2 linked regions of the Arabidopsis thaliana genome follow. The protein of the gene in region 2 interacts with the protein of the main gene of each other region in a pairwise test. Each region holds a gene or a part of one and is shown on either strand. Other genes may lie near its edges. The genes, in order: AT1G73920 and BETA-OHASE 2.

The links.
Region 1: the proteins of BETA-OHASE 2 (region 2) and AT1G73920 interact in a two-hybrid assay, tested with the Arabidopsis thaliana proteins (one large-scale study listed by BioGRID).

Annotation. Positions count from the first base shown.
Region 1 is NC_003070.9:27,789,217-27,795,728, forward strand, and holds AT1G73920 (alpha/beta-Hydrolases superfamily protein), read left to right. Parts: upstream 1-1,520; 5' UTR 1,521-1,977; coding exon 1,978-2,018; intron 2,019-2,379; exon of another isoform or gene 2,380-2,384; coding exon 2,385-2,558; intron 2,559-2,642; coding exon 2,643-3,039; intron 3,040-3,137; coding exon 3,138-3,436; intron 3,437-3,530; coding exon 3,531-3,599; intron 3,600-3,698; coding exon 3,699-3,755; intron 3,756-4,180; coding exon 4,181-4,233; intron 4,234-4,323; coding exon 4,324-4,399; intron 4,400-4,533; coding exon 4,534-5,482; 3' UTR 5,483-5,712; downstream 5,713-6,512. Other genes in the region: ARP4A (actin-related proteins 4A), read left to right, coding at 77-89, 226-317, 447-593, 681-754, 907-1,084; AT1G73930 (polarity axis stabilization protein), read right to left, coding at 6,131-6,292.
Region 2 is NC_003076.8:21,334,188-21,339,205, forward strand, and holds BETA-OHASE 2 (beta-carotene hydroxylase 2), read right to left. Parts: upstream 2,940-5,018; 5' UTR 2,701-2,939; coding exon 2,329-2,700; intron 2,245-2,328; coding exon 2,185-2,244; intron 1,868-2,184; coding exon 1,796-1,867; intron 1,703-1,795; coding exon 1,568-1,702; intron 1,238-1,567; coding exon 1,112-1,237; intron 1,010-1,111; coding exon 953-1,009; intron 814-952; coding exon 724-813; 3' UTR 606-723; downstream 1-605. Other genes in the region: USP (UDP-sugar pyrophosphorylase), read left to right, coding at 1-139, 219-386; AT5G52580 (RabGAP/TBC domain-containing protein), read left to right, coding at 3,865-3,933, 4,097-4,270, 4,360-4,411, 4,501-4,608, 4,737-4,821. UniProt on the Arabidopsis thaliana protein: Nonheme diiron monooxygenase involved in the biosynthesis of xanthophylls. Specific for beta-ring hydroxylations of beta-carotene. Also has a low activity toward the beta- and epsilon-rings of alpha-carotene.

The sequences.
Region 1 (6,512 bases), on a different chromosome or scaffold from region 2:
CCGGTTCCGTTCTTAAACCTTCCGACGAAGCTCCGGTAGAGAAAACCTCTCTTCACCTCTCCCATTCTCGGCAGCCATGTACGGTGGAGGTAGGTTTTATTTTCGTCCTCTCTAAAATCTCTCTCTGATTGTACAAATTCAGCATTACTTCTTTCCCTTTTCGCTTGAGCTCGTCTCGTAAAGGTGTAAACTTTTCCTTGGTGGGGTTTCTTATATATTGAACAGACGAAGTGTCAGCTATCGTAGTAGACTTAGGTTCTCACACTTGCAAAGCTGGTTACGCCGGAGAAGATGCCCCTAAAGCTGTTTTCCCTTCCGTAAGTCTCATTCTTTACTTCCTCTCTTTTCAATTGGTTAAAGTTAGGTCCTTTTAGTGTAGAGCAAGCAATTCGAGAAATTTAGGTTTTTTGTTGTTGCTGTTGTTGATGTGTTATATAACTTATAAGGTTGTTGGAGCGATAGATGGAAATGGAATGGATATTGATGATGCTGCAAACACCACGGAGGATGCAAAGGAGTCTGATAAAGAAAAAGGCAAAAGGAAGCTTTACACAGGATCTCAAGCTTTGAACTTTCGCCGCGATCAAATGGAGGTCAGTTTTCTTTATTAAACTTCAAAATGGTTAGGGATGAAGATAAATTTTCAGGTCTCTCTATTAGTTGACATTTGTCTGTTCCAGATATTGTCACCTACAAAGGATGGCATTGTAACTGATTGGGATATGGTGGACAATGTATGGGATCATGCTTTTAGGTAATTTGCAGAATCTGTTAGTTTTTGTCTTTAACTGTTTAATCTTTATCTTTTCCATTTATAGTTGATTGATGATTTCATCTGTGTAAATGTTTATTATTCAAGGAATTGTCTAATGATTGATCCCACGGAGCACCCAATGCTACTTGCAGAGCCTCCTCTGAACTCACAGCAGCAGAGAGAAAAGTCTGGTTTCTCTACCTTTTATCGATGCTGAGTTCATCTTGGATTAGGAACAGATTATTCTGGTGGAACATCATCAATGCAGTAATTGAAAGAACGCCTCGAGAAAGACTTGGTAGAAGTAAGGTAGTATACTGGCATCGTTAGGCTCATTCCAGCAAATGTGGTTCTCCAAGTCTGAGTAAGTAACACATTGGATTGCTCTCTAGATCTCGACTCACGTATAAACAGTGTCTTCTCATCGCTAGGGTTTGAGTCTTTTTGTGTACATGACAGGTATGCAGAGCATGGAGCTTCTTACATCCAGAGGAAATGCCCTTAAAAGCTGCTTGAGATCAAGATAACGAGAACCTTTGGAGACAGTCAGAGGGTTTAGGGATTAAGTAATTAGTATCTTTTCATTTATTTAGGCAAATATTAAACACTTTTTTATTATTATTATGAAGCTTTAGAAATAGCTTCGTATAATATAATGTTTCAACGTTAACATACAACAAATGTACTATTTTTCTAAGTGAAAACAACCACAAATGTACTTGTGTGTTTGCCTGTTTGGTAAATCCACCTTCTCCGTTATCCAAAAGTCGAATTTACGTGTCGTAGTTTTTGTCACATTCGTCATTATCCAATAACACATGTCCACGTGTCACCATTTTCTGGTCTCTGGACGGCAAGAATCGCCGACGTGCCCCTATTTAATCGGATTCTCCCATTTTTATTTTATTTTCGTCAGATTCTCTCCAATTTTGTTTTTTCTTTTTAGATTTTTGATTCTCGAATCGCGGCTCCTGTGGGTCTCTGTGTTTTCCTTATTTTGAGTTCGGATTAAATCTCGATCGCGATTTGGTCCAATATCTCCTAGCATCGAGAGATTTCTATTCTGGCTAAATTTTGTGTTTTCTCAGGTGGATAAGAAATTTTCTCTTTGTCGTTTTCCTCGATAATTTTCGGATTACGGCGACGAATCAGATTGTTTTTTGGTTTCAAATTTTCTGATATTTCCAAAAAAACAAAAAAATCTGATTTTTGAGAAAAAAGCAATGCAACGGATCGTGGACAACGCTCTCGCTGTAACCAAAGAGTGAGTCTTTTTTCTTATCGATCATCAGTGGATTCATCTGTGTATGCGCCTATAGTTGTTCTAATGTTTCATAAATGACAAGTAGAGATTTTTAAGTTTTTGATCGTTTGGTGATTATAGTAAGTCTCTTTGTTAATTAGTATTGGTAGATTGTGTTTTTGAGTTTTGTTAGACCATTTTATTCTAGTATCTTCATTCAAAGCTTCGTCTTTTAGAGTTGATGTTGGCTATGAACTTTGAGTCGGTGAAATGACTATTTCTTTTTTTTTGGTTCGTCTTTTTGTTAGATGTTCTTCTTTTCCCTTATGTTGTCTAACAAGCTTAAACTAAATAAGCTTTTTGATTATGTTTTGGCTTTTAGTGCAGATCAGTAAAAACTGTTACATATGAGTCTTTGAATAACATTGCGAGGTGCATAAATGGAGTATCAGCTCTTCTGTTGACCCTTCTCCCAGGGAAGGCTAATATTCTTGAAGGCTTACATGGCTGGGAACTCAGGCCTACGTTTCGTGGACCACGTTTACCACGGTGGATGCATAAGTAATAATTTCTCATGATTCTTCTGTTGTTAGTTTATTTGCAAGCCTTCAAAATATGCTAATTTTACTCTGTTTTTGATGGCAGTGGGGTCTCTTCTTTCAATGAGTTCATTCATGAGCTTTCTGTTGATTCTGATACTTCAAGCTTGGAGTATTCTTCTGGAGAAGATAGTGATGGTCCTTTGCCTCCATCACCATCATCTCAAAGCTCACGCCTCTCTTGGGCTAGCACTTCTGCAAGTTCTGAAAACCACTGGACAGAGTGGATTACGTTCATTCTTTGGTGGTTAATGTTTCCTGTACGGATCTTGCTATGGATACCACAATATATTATAAGTTTATTCTATAAACGAAGTTCAAGAATTCCTGCGAGCCCGAGAAGGCACCAACATTCATCTAGACCTCGTATTAGCAAGACCAACTCAAGCAAAGACCATGATGTTCCCAACCGAACTACTGATAGAAGACGTGGGGTTATTGAGGTTTGTGGATGCACGAACAAATATTCAATGTTACAATCATTTTTGTGATTTTAAACCTTTTGACAAACTCGTCCTACTTAATGTGCTTTATTTTTCAGGATCTTCATCTTGCTATCGAGATCGGCATAGAAGCAATATTTGATTTTTTTCACAAGGCTACGCATCTTCTTCTTTCTCCATCAGAAGCTTTTGCAATATTGTTATCATGGTTCTCATCTTCCAGTCGCAGCCCTAAAGAAAACCATGGTGAGGTTGCTTATGATGAAACTGTGCAGACTGCTACTTTAGGAGATACAGATCCATCCCCCACGGAAAGGCCCGTTGAAAGTCCCACACGTTTATACAACTCTATGAACACTGATACTCGAACGTGTCAAGATGTCATAACAGAGTTGGGGTAAAGGGGCAGATTCGATGTCTCATGCTTCCATTTTTTTTTTCTCTTTCTCAAGTAGTTGATATTTACTTGATTTCTCTCCTACTCTTGGTAGGTATCCTTACGAAGCTATTCGTGTTATTACATCTGACGGATATGTTCTTGTCTTGGAAAGGATACCAAGGTATAACTTTCTTGTTAGATATTAAGCTCGCTTGTGCATGCTTTCCATTCCTGTTACATTGTCTCTTAATGTGATCGTTGACTACTCTTGTCTTTGCAGACGTGATGCAAGGAAAGCTGTTTTTTTGCAGCATGGGGTTTTGGATTCTTCAATGGGGTAAGTTTCATGGTCTAGTTCTTAGATGACTCGTAAACTTTGGAAACTTAGTAAGCTGAAAAGTTGAGGAAGTATTATTTTCTATATCCATGTAGCATAACATTCCTAGGCGTTTCAATGTTCCTGACTCTTTACCCAAAAAAAAATTATTTTCATAATTTGTTCCCTTCAACTTTGCGTGTGTGTTTGATTTGCTCAAGACACAAAAATGGATTTGGGAAAATCTTTTGGTGCGATTAGGAGGGATACTGCTTTCAGTTACTTTAGTTATCTCATCTTCTTTTTTCCCTTTCCTTCTCTCCGATCCTTCTTAAAGATTTAGTTTTGACTTGGAACATCCTATAATCCTCTGATGTTTTGATCTAATATATGTCCTATGAAACATTATTGATTACTCTTTTTCTCTACTGCGTGTTTTTCTTCAGATGGGTATCTAATGGGGTTGTTGGATCTCCGGCTTTTGCTGCGTATGACCAAGGTTCAAGCCTCAAGTTTTTCATTTTCCAATCTTTTATTAATTCACATACGGCAACGATTTATCAGCTTCTTACACTCTTTTCCTTTACAGGCTATGATGTTTTTCTGGGTAACTTTCGGGGTTTAGTTTCAAGAGATCATGTGAACAAGAACATATCCTCAAAAGAGTGAGTTATTGCTTTAAAGTTCACTTCTTACTTAATCTACATGCACTGTCTGGTTTCTTTATGATAGTGGAGTTTCATCATATGTATATATTTGCAAGTTGTACAAATGTTCATTGTTATTGACCAAAATGCAGGTTCTGGCGATACTCCATTAACGAGCACGGTACTGAAGATATCCCAGCGATGATAGAAAAAATTCATGAAATAAAAACTACAGAACTCAAGCTCTGCCAGCCCAATATCGATGAAGAAATCAACCAGGAGGAGCCTTATAAGCTCTGTGCCATCTGTCACAGTCTAGGCGGTGCTGCAATTCTGATGTATGTTATTACTCGAAAAATCAAGGAGAAGCCACACAGACTCTCACGACTAATCCTACTTTCACCTGCTGGGTTTCATGAGGACTCGAACTTAGGTTTCACAATAGTTGAGTACATATTCCTTTTCATTAGTCCAGTTTTGGCTCGCATCGTGCCTGCCTTCTACATACCGACAAGATTCTTCAGAATGCTTCTGAACAAGTTAGCCCGTGACTTTCACAACTATCCTGCTCTTGGTGGATTGGTCCAAACTCTAATGAGTTATGTAGTTGGTGGAGACAGCTCGAATTGGGTCGGAGTCTTAGGATTGCCTCACTACAACATGAACGACATGCCAGCTGTCTCCTTCCGTGTGGCGCAACATCTTGCTCAGATCAAACACACCGGTAAATTCAGGATGTATGATTATGGAAGCAGATCAGCTAACATGGAGGTTTATGGCTCTCCTGAACCGCTTGATCTAGGGGAGTCTTACAAGTTCATCGATGTGCCTGTGGATTTAGTAGCGGGAAGGAACGACAAGGTGATCCGTTCCTCTATGGTGAAGAAACACTACAATGTGATGAGAGATGCCGAGGTCGATGTATCGTTTAATGAGTTTGAGTATGCTCACCTTGATTTCACATTCTCTCACCGTGAAGAGCTTTTGAGATATGTGATGTCGCGGCTTCTGCTTGTGAAACAGACACCAGTTCAACAGAGGCAGACCAGTCAGAAAGGTATGAAGTTGAAGAAGAAGAAAAAGGAGGGTACAGTAGTGTAGTAGCTGAAACCGATCTATGGCCAATGTTCAATGCCTCGTAGAGTTTGGTGTCTTTGTATTGTGATGTTGTGTGTAAGCTTCATGTGTGTGTTCTATGCCAGTATCCTATGGCTTGGCTATAATAGTGTACATATACCGTAAAGATTGATCCCTTGATGAAATGATCTTGTTGTGAGAGATGCTTTTTTCAGCCGTATGGTATATAATAATGTTTCTAGTGGTTTGGTTTCCATGAAAATGATATGATGTCATGAAAGATGCTATGAATCCAGAAAATTCCTCCTTTCCATTGGAAGATCTGAAGAGACCAATTAATCATATAGTTGGCGAATCTTTGCATACTTTGACATAGAACTTCTGTAGGTCATACAGTTTATTCATTTGTCGTAATAATATAAATCATAGTTACAGTTACATGTTTAATGGATCCAAGAAGGATAAATTTATCTGGTTATAGAGTTAAAAATACAGCAGTGATCAGTGATTTCGGTGTTGTGTGATTCTCATGTTTCAAAAGAAAAAACGAGTAAACAATTAGGGAAGATGAAGAATTTTTCTCTTTTTTCTTTGGTACAGTTCAAAGAATGAAACAGAAAAGGGAAGAAAAGAAATCAGAATCCTCATGGACGCCGTAGTGAAGAAGAGCATTCATTGGAGCTCTGATGGATCTTGAAGAAGAGATGCTCTTTGTGGATTTAAAAGCAGAAGTTGCTGCATGTCCTTTGGAAGCACACTGAACACCGCTTGTAGATCCTTCTTCAGTTTCTGAAACGTTCCTTCTGAATCTGCACCTCCTCCTGATTCCAGCGACTGCAAAATATATGTTTTCGATATGTCATAATGGTTCCAAATCTGCTGAAGAGAGAACTAGTTTATGTTTATCATTACGTATTCTACCTAACTATGCAGATATGTACATCGCTAACAAAATAAAATCTATCTTTACATCTCTCAGGCATGTAAGTAATGTTTACATGGGAGTGTCCAAAGAAAAGAATCTAGCACAGAAGTAACATGAACATGAAATTAA
Region 2 (5,018 bases):
CTCTGATATCAAAAAGAAAGTCAGCGGGAACTGCGAGGTCTCTCAGAGATCCACAATGGCAATCAAGGGTCGTAATGTATTTATCAAAGATCTCTCCTTGGACGGTGCTCTTATTGTAGATTCCATTGATGATGCAGAGGTATGTGATGTGTATTTGAAAGCTATCATATTCCATTGTTATCTCTTTGATTATCATCATATTAACATTGTGAAAACAGGTAAAACTTGGAGGTTTGATAAAGAACAATGGTTGGACCATGGAGAGTGTAGATTACAAGGACACATCGGTTCCAGAAGAAATAAGAATCAGAGGTTTTAGATTCAACAAAGTGGAGCAACTCGAAAAGAAGTTAACTCAACCTGGCAAATTTTCTGTTGAAGATTGAAGTTATCTTTGCACATTTATGTGACACTTTTTTAAAAAGTGTTATTTGGCAATATGATCAATTAGCAAATTAGCTATTTTTTTAAGAGAATGCCAAATGATCCATTAATTTGTCCTTCTAATGGAGAGCTTAATTCTTTCTTTCGTTTTGTTTCCAACGAAACACTTCCTTTTCTTTGTTTTTCAACAAAACCCGAATATATTGTTTCTTTATGTTTTTCTAAATCTTTATTAGCCTGACTCTTTCTTCTACGTCATTTTTTATATATACTAAAAGAAAGACTAGTCCCAAAATGTATTACAAAAACATCAAAGAAGTAAAATTGGGTTTGTAGCAATTAAGAGGTAGAAGAACCCTTGTTGTATAATTTGATTCTCCGGCTTATCTCTTTCTCCAACTCTTCTTTTCCTCCCACTTCTTCTACTTCCTGCACCATTCTCAAAATCCAATCCAAACCATATGCAAACAAAAAATAAAAATCAATTCACGTGTTAAACAAAAATAACATGCAAATTATCAATTGATATCTCATATGTTTATTTTTGAAAAGGGTTATATATTCTTGCCTTTGGTCCAAGAAACAGCCCATATGGTACACCTTTGAATTTGTCTGTGTGGTGTAGCTAAAAAGATAAAGCCATAATCGTTAGCAAAATTTTGTAAATCAATAATAACTATATGGAATGAAGAACGTTAAGAGCGTTGGTTAACGATGGTATTAAAACCTGGTGAGCGGCGGCGACCTTTCGAAGGTAAGGAACGTTGGCAATGGGACCTACAGGGAATCTCTTGTGCACAAGTCCATCGTGAACGAACATGTAAGCCATTCCAAACATCGTTATTCCCAGTCCCTGGTGATATTACAAACCAGTCAGCACAAAAAACAAGAAACAGATAGTACTCGTATAGTGGTTTCATTAGTCTAAGTACACCCAATCTTTCATGTTTGGACGGGTACTAGATGATAGGTCTCACCCAACTCACACGTTCACACTCTTTGTGGGACGGTGAAAAGAAAAAAAAAAACCACAAAAAATTTTCATACTTTCGGTTTCCGTGACTTTATTTAAAGAAGTCAAATACCAATTTACTATTGCTTCTCTCTTTATAGAAAAACAAAAGACTTTTGATCTTTTCTTTATAAGTTTCGGATATTGTCGAAAGAGAGAAAAAAGACTTACGGCACCGAAGCAGAGACCAGGAACAAGTCCTTTATTCAAGAATCCATAATAGAGTAGACCAATCGCAGGAACCGCGTTTGTTATAGCAAACACATCGTTTAACTCAAACGCTCCTTCTCTTGGTTTGTGATGTGACTGCCACAAACCAATAACCGGCTATGAATATTCTTAATTTGTTAGCAGTAAACCGGAAAAGAAAAACCAGAATAATGAGAAAAAATGAAATACCTCATGCATGTTCCATAAAGAATCATGCCAAAGAGCTCTATGAGCCCATCTTGCCCAAAACTCCATCCCAACCTAAAATTCAAATATACGAAAATATAAATGAATCGGAATAAGCATGGACATTGGCTTTTTACGGTTTAACTTGTTCTGGTTATTGAACTTCGTTTTTTTCGGATGTTAGAAAATAGGCTGAAAACAAATGTATTTTGATAAGTCTAGTTAAAAATAAAATTTCTTATGAATTTGTGGTTTAATTCTGTTTGTTTGCATAGAATTTTATTTAGTTTGAGTTATAAATAAAATTTGGTTCGGAATTAGATTGACATATTTCGGTTTGGTTTGGATTTTCCCACCCCAAAATGGGAATATAATGTAGGAATGAAACTTACGGCAGCACCAACGGAAAGAGCAAATGTACCAAACATCTCTAACACAGACACTTCACCTCCCTAAAAAAAATCAAATTTTTCACTTTTGGAAATTAGGACAAATAGTATTGAATTTTCGTTATTTATTTATTTATTATAATTTACCTTCATTTGCCAAGAAAATCGGTAATAAACAGCCATTATAGCCATAGAAGTGATACCAAAGCTCGACATCACAGCTGCTATTAAATAAGTGAACCTCTCTGATTTCTTCTTCTCCGCTTTCTTGAGAAGCCGCGACGTCATCAAGATCTCAGAAGAGCTTGTCGTGCTTTCTGGTTTGTTGTCATCGTCCATGGGAGAGCTTTGTTTCCGTTCTTCCACGACGAAACAAACGGTGAGAATCTTTCGACGTCGGAAGCCGTTGAATCTTAGAGATGGAGGGAAAACTGCGGTGGATATAGGGTGGTTTGCGGAGAAAGAAGAGCGGTTGAGTGGTTTGAGTGTTACGGCGATTGTTGATAGTCCTGCTGCCATGGAAGGAGTTCGTTGAGGTTTTATGAAACTTTAACGAAAGAGAGTTATAGAGACAAATATAAAGAGAAACACAAGGAGACTATTGTGTGGTAAAGCTTTGCAGAGAGAAGAGCTAAATGGAGAGAGGCCACATTTTTATTTTCTTTTACAAACAAATTATATAAAAACTATACCATTTTGTTTTTTTTATATGTTGAGTCAATTACAATAATATTGTTAATGTTTATAATAAGAAAAACATTTCGCAAAAGCAAGCATATAAACAAATACAAAAAGTGAGTTTATTAGAATTTGAGGTAAGGAGAGGTGATGGCCTGATGGGCCATTTTCTAGGATTTTCCCAAGTCATCGACAGCGAATCACTCCACTTCTATTTAATGGCTCCACGTGGCCTCTTCTTCCACCGAATAGGCAAGAGGAGTATCACCAACTTCCACATGTCCAATCCTTATTTGTTCATATTGTTTCATCAGATGACACTCTTCAAAGGTAAATGAGGTATTGCTTGACATGAAGCTTCTAGTTCTCGTTCTAAACTTGTGCGACTTAAAAAGGATCTCAAGTATACAACTACAGGTGGTTTAATTTACACAAGTTGTTTCCATGCATTTTCAAAACAGATTTCAGCTTGATTTGTAGTTTTGACAAGTTACTAACAAAACAAAATAGCAAAAGTTATGACTGAAATATATGAATGTGACTATGTGAGTGATCAGAGCCCAGAAAAGTTACTAAAAAGCCGCAGCATAAACTAATTGTTTAAAGTTACAGATCAATTTGCTTTGGTTTTAACTAAAAGGAAATATTAATTTGCTCTGTTTGATTAGTATGTTACTCAACTAAAAATATGCATTTCTGATAAATTCTGGTTAATGTGGTTCTGTTACACCAAATTCGCATTTTACTACTATAGTAAAGAAACTTATTTCGTATTATTCGGATTATTATAAAGTTGACTAAATTCGATTCGATTACAACTTGGTTCGGTTCGGTTCGGTTACAACGCCGACCTGTAATTAAAACCTTTTTAACTGCAAAATTAATGAAGATACACACACGTAATCGAATATTCTCAACGACGCGTAAGCTTCCTCTCTAATTACTTACTTCGTCTCCAGGGTAATCTGATCTCTCTCATCACCTCTCTCTTCTCCTGAAATCACCATGAGTATGGAAGCAACGGAGCTACAAGATCTCTCTGACGACGCCGATTACGCCGCTTCTCAACAACAAGTTTGTTATTCTGACTTTGTCCTTCTTCTCGTGCTTTCTCAATTTTGATTCAACAATTCGATCGTAATTTTCCGATAATAAATCTTCGCCAATGCGAATTTGAATCCATTATCTATTTGACTTGATCGTTTGATTGTGTTGCTATGGCTCTTGATTTTGTTAGGGATCGGCTAGTATGATGCGTAGCGATAGCGGAAAGAGAAGTTTACAAAGTGAACACGAAGACGCTGTATTGATTTATTTGAAAGATAACGTTGCAATTCATCCTACACAGTTCGCATCTGAGAGGATTAGTGGTAGATTGAAGTTGACTAAGCAAGACTCTGTTCTCTTTCTGGTAATCAATCACTGAAATTGATTGTTTGTTTGTATTAGTTTTGTATTCATTCACTTACTTGTTTCCATTTTTTGATATATGATGGCTAGTCGTGGATTCCGTACAAGGGACAAACATCAAATGCAAAGCTATCAGAGAAAGGTATTTAGGATTCCTTGAACTGAATTAGTATATGTTAGTATTGAAGATTAATGCTTTACCTTTGTTCTTAGTTTCTATATCTTTTCTAGACAGGAGTCTTTATACCATCACCGCGGTTCCGTTTACTGAAGTGAGGTCCATTAGGAGACACACTCCTGCTCTCGGATGGCAGTATGTAATTGTTGTCCTGTCTTCTGGTAAGCAAAACTTTTGGCTGTTGCTTTTTGTGAGATATATATAATGAATTACTATACGGGAGGGGGTTTCCCTTTTCCTTCTCGACAAGTCGAATGATTCAGACTTAATGGTTTAAAATGACCTGCAGGACTTGCATTTCCACCTCTGTACTTCTACAATGGAGGAGTCAGGGAGTTTCTGGCCATGGTGAAGCAGCATGTTTTTCTTGCAAGGTTTGTGTCTGATATGAGATAGTTTTTTGTTCTGTATTGATATTCTTATTTATAACCTGTCTTTATAGTCTGTTTCGGTTACTGTATGAAAGTAGCTTAGGAATGCACAGTGTCAATGTATTGACAGGCTTTTATAGCACTTGTTACTTACTCATTAGAGAGGTCTAACATGAAAACTTTTGGTTCACCCGAGTTTA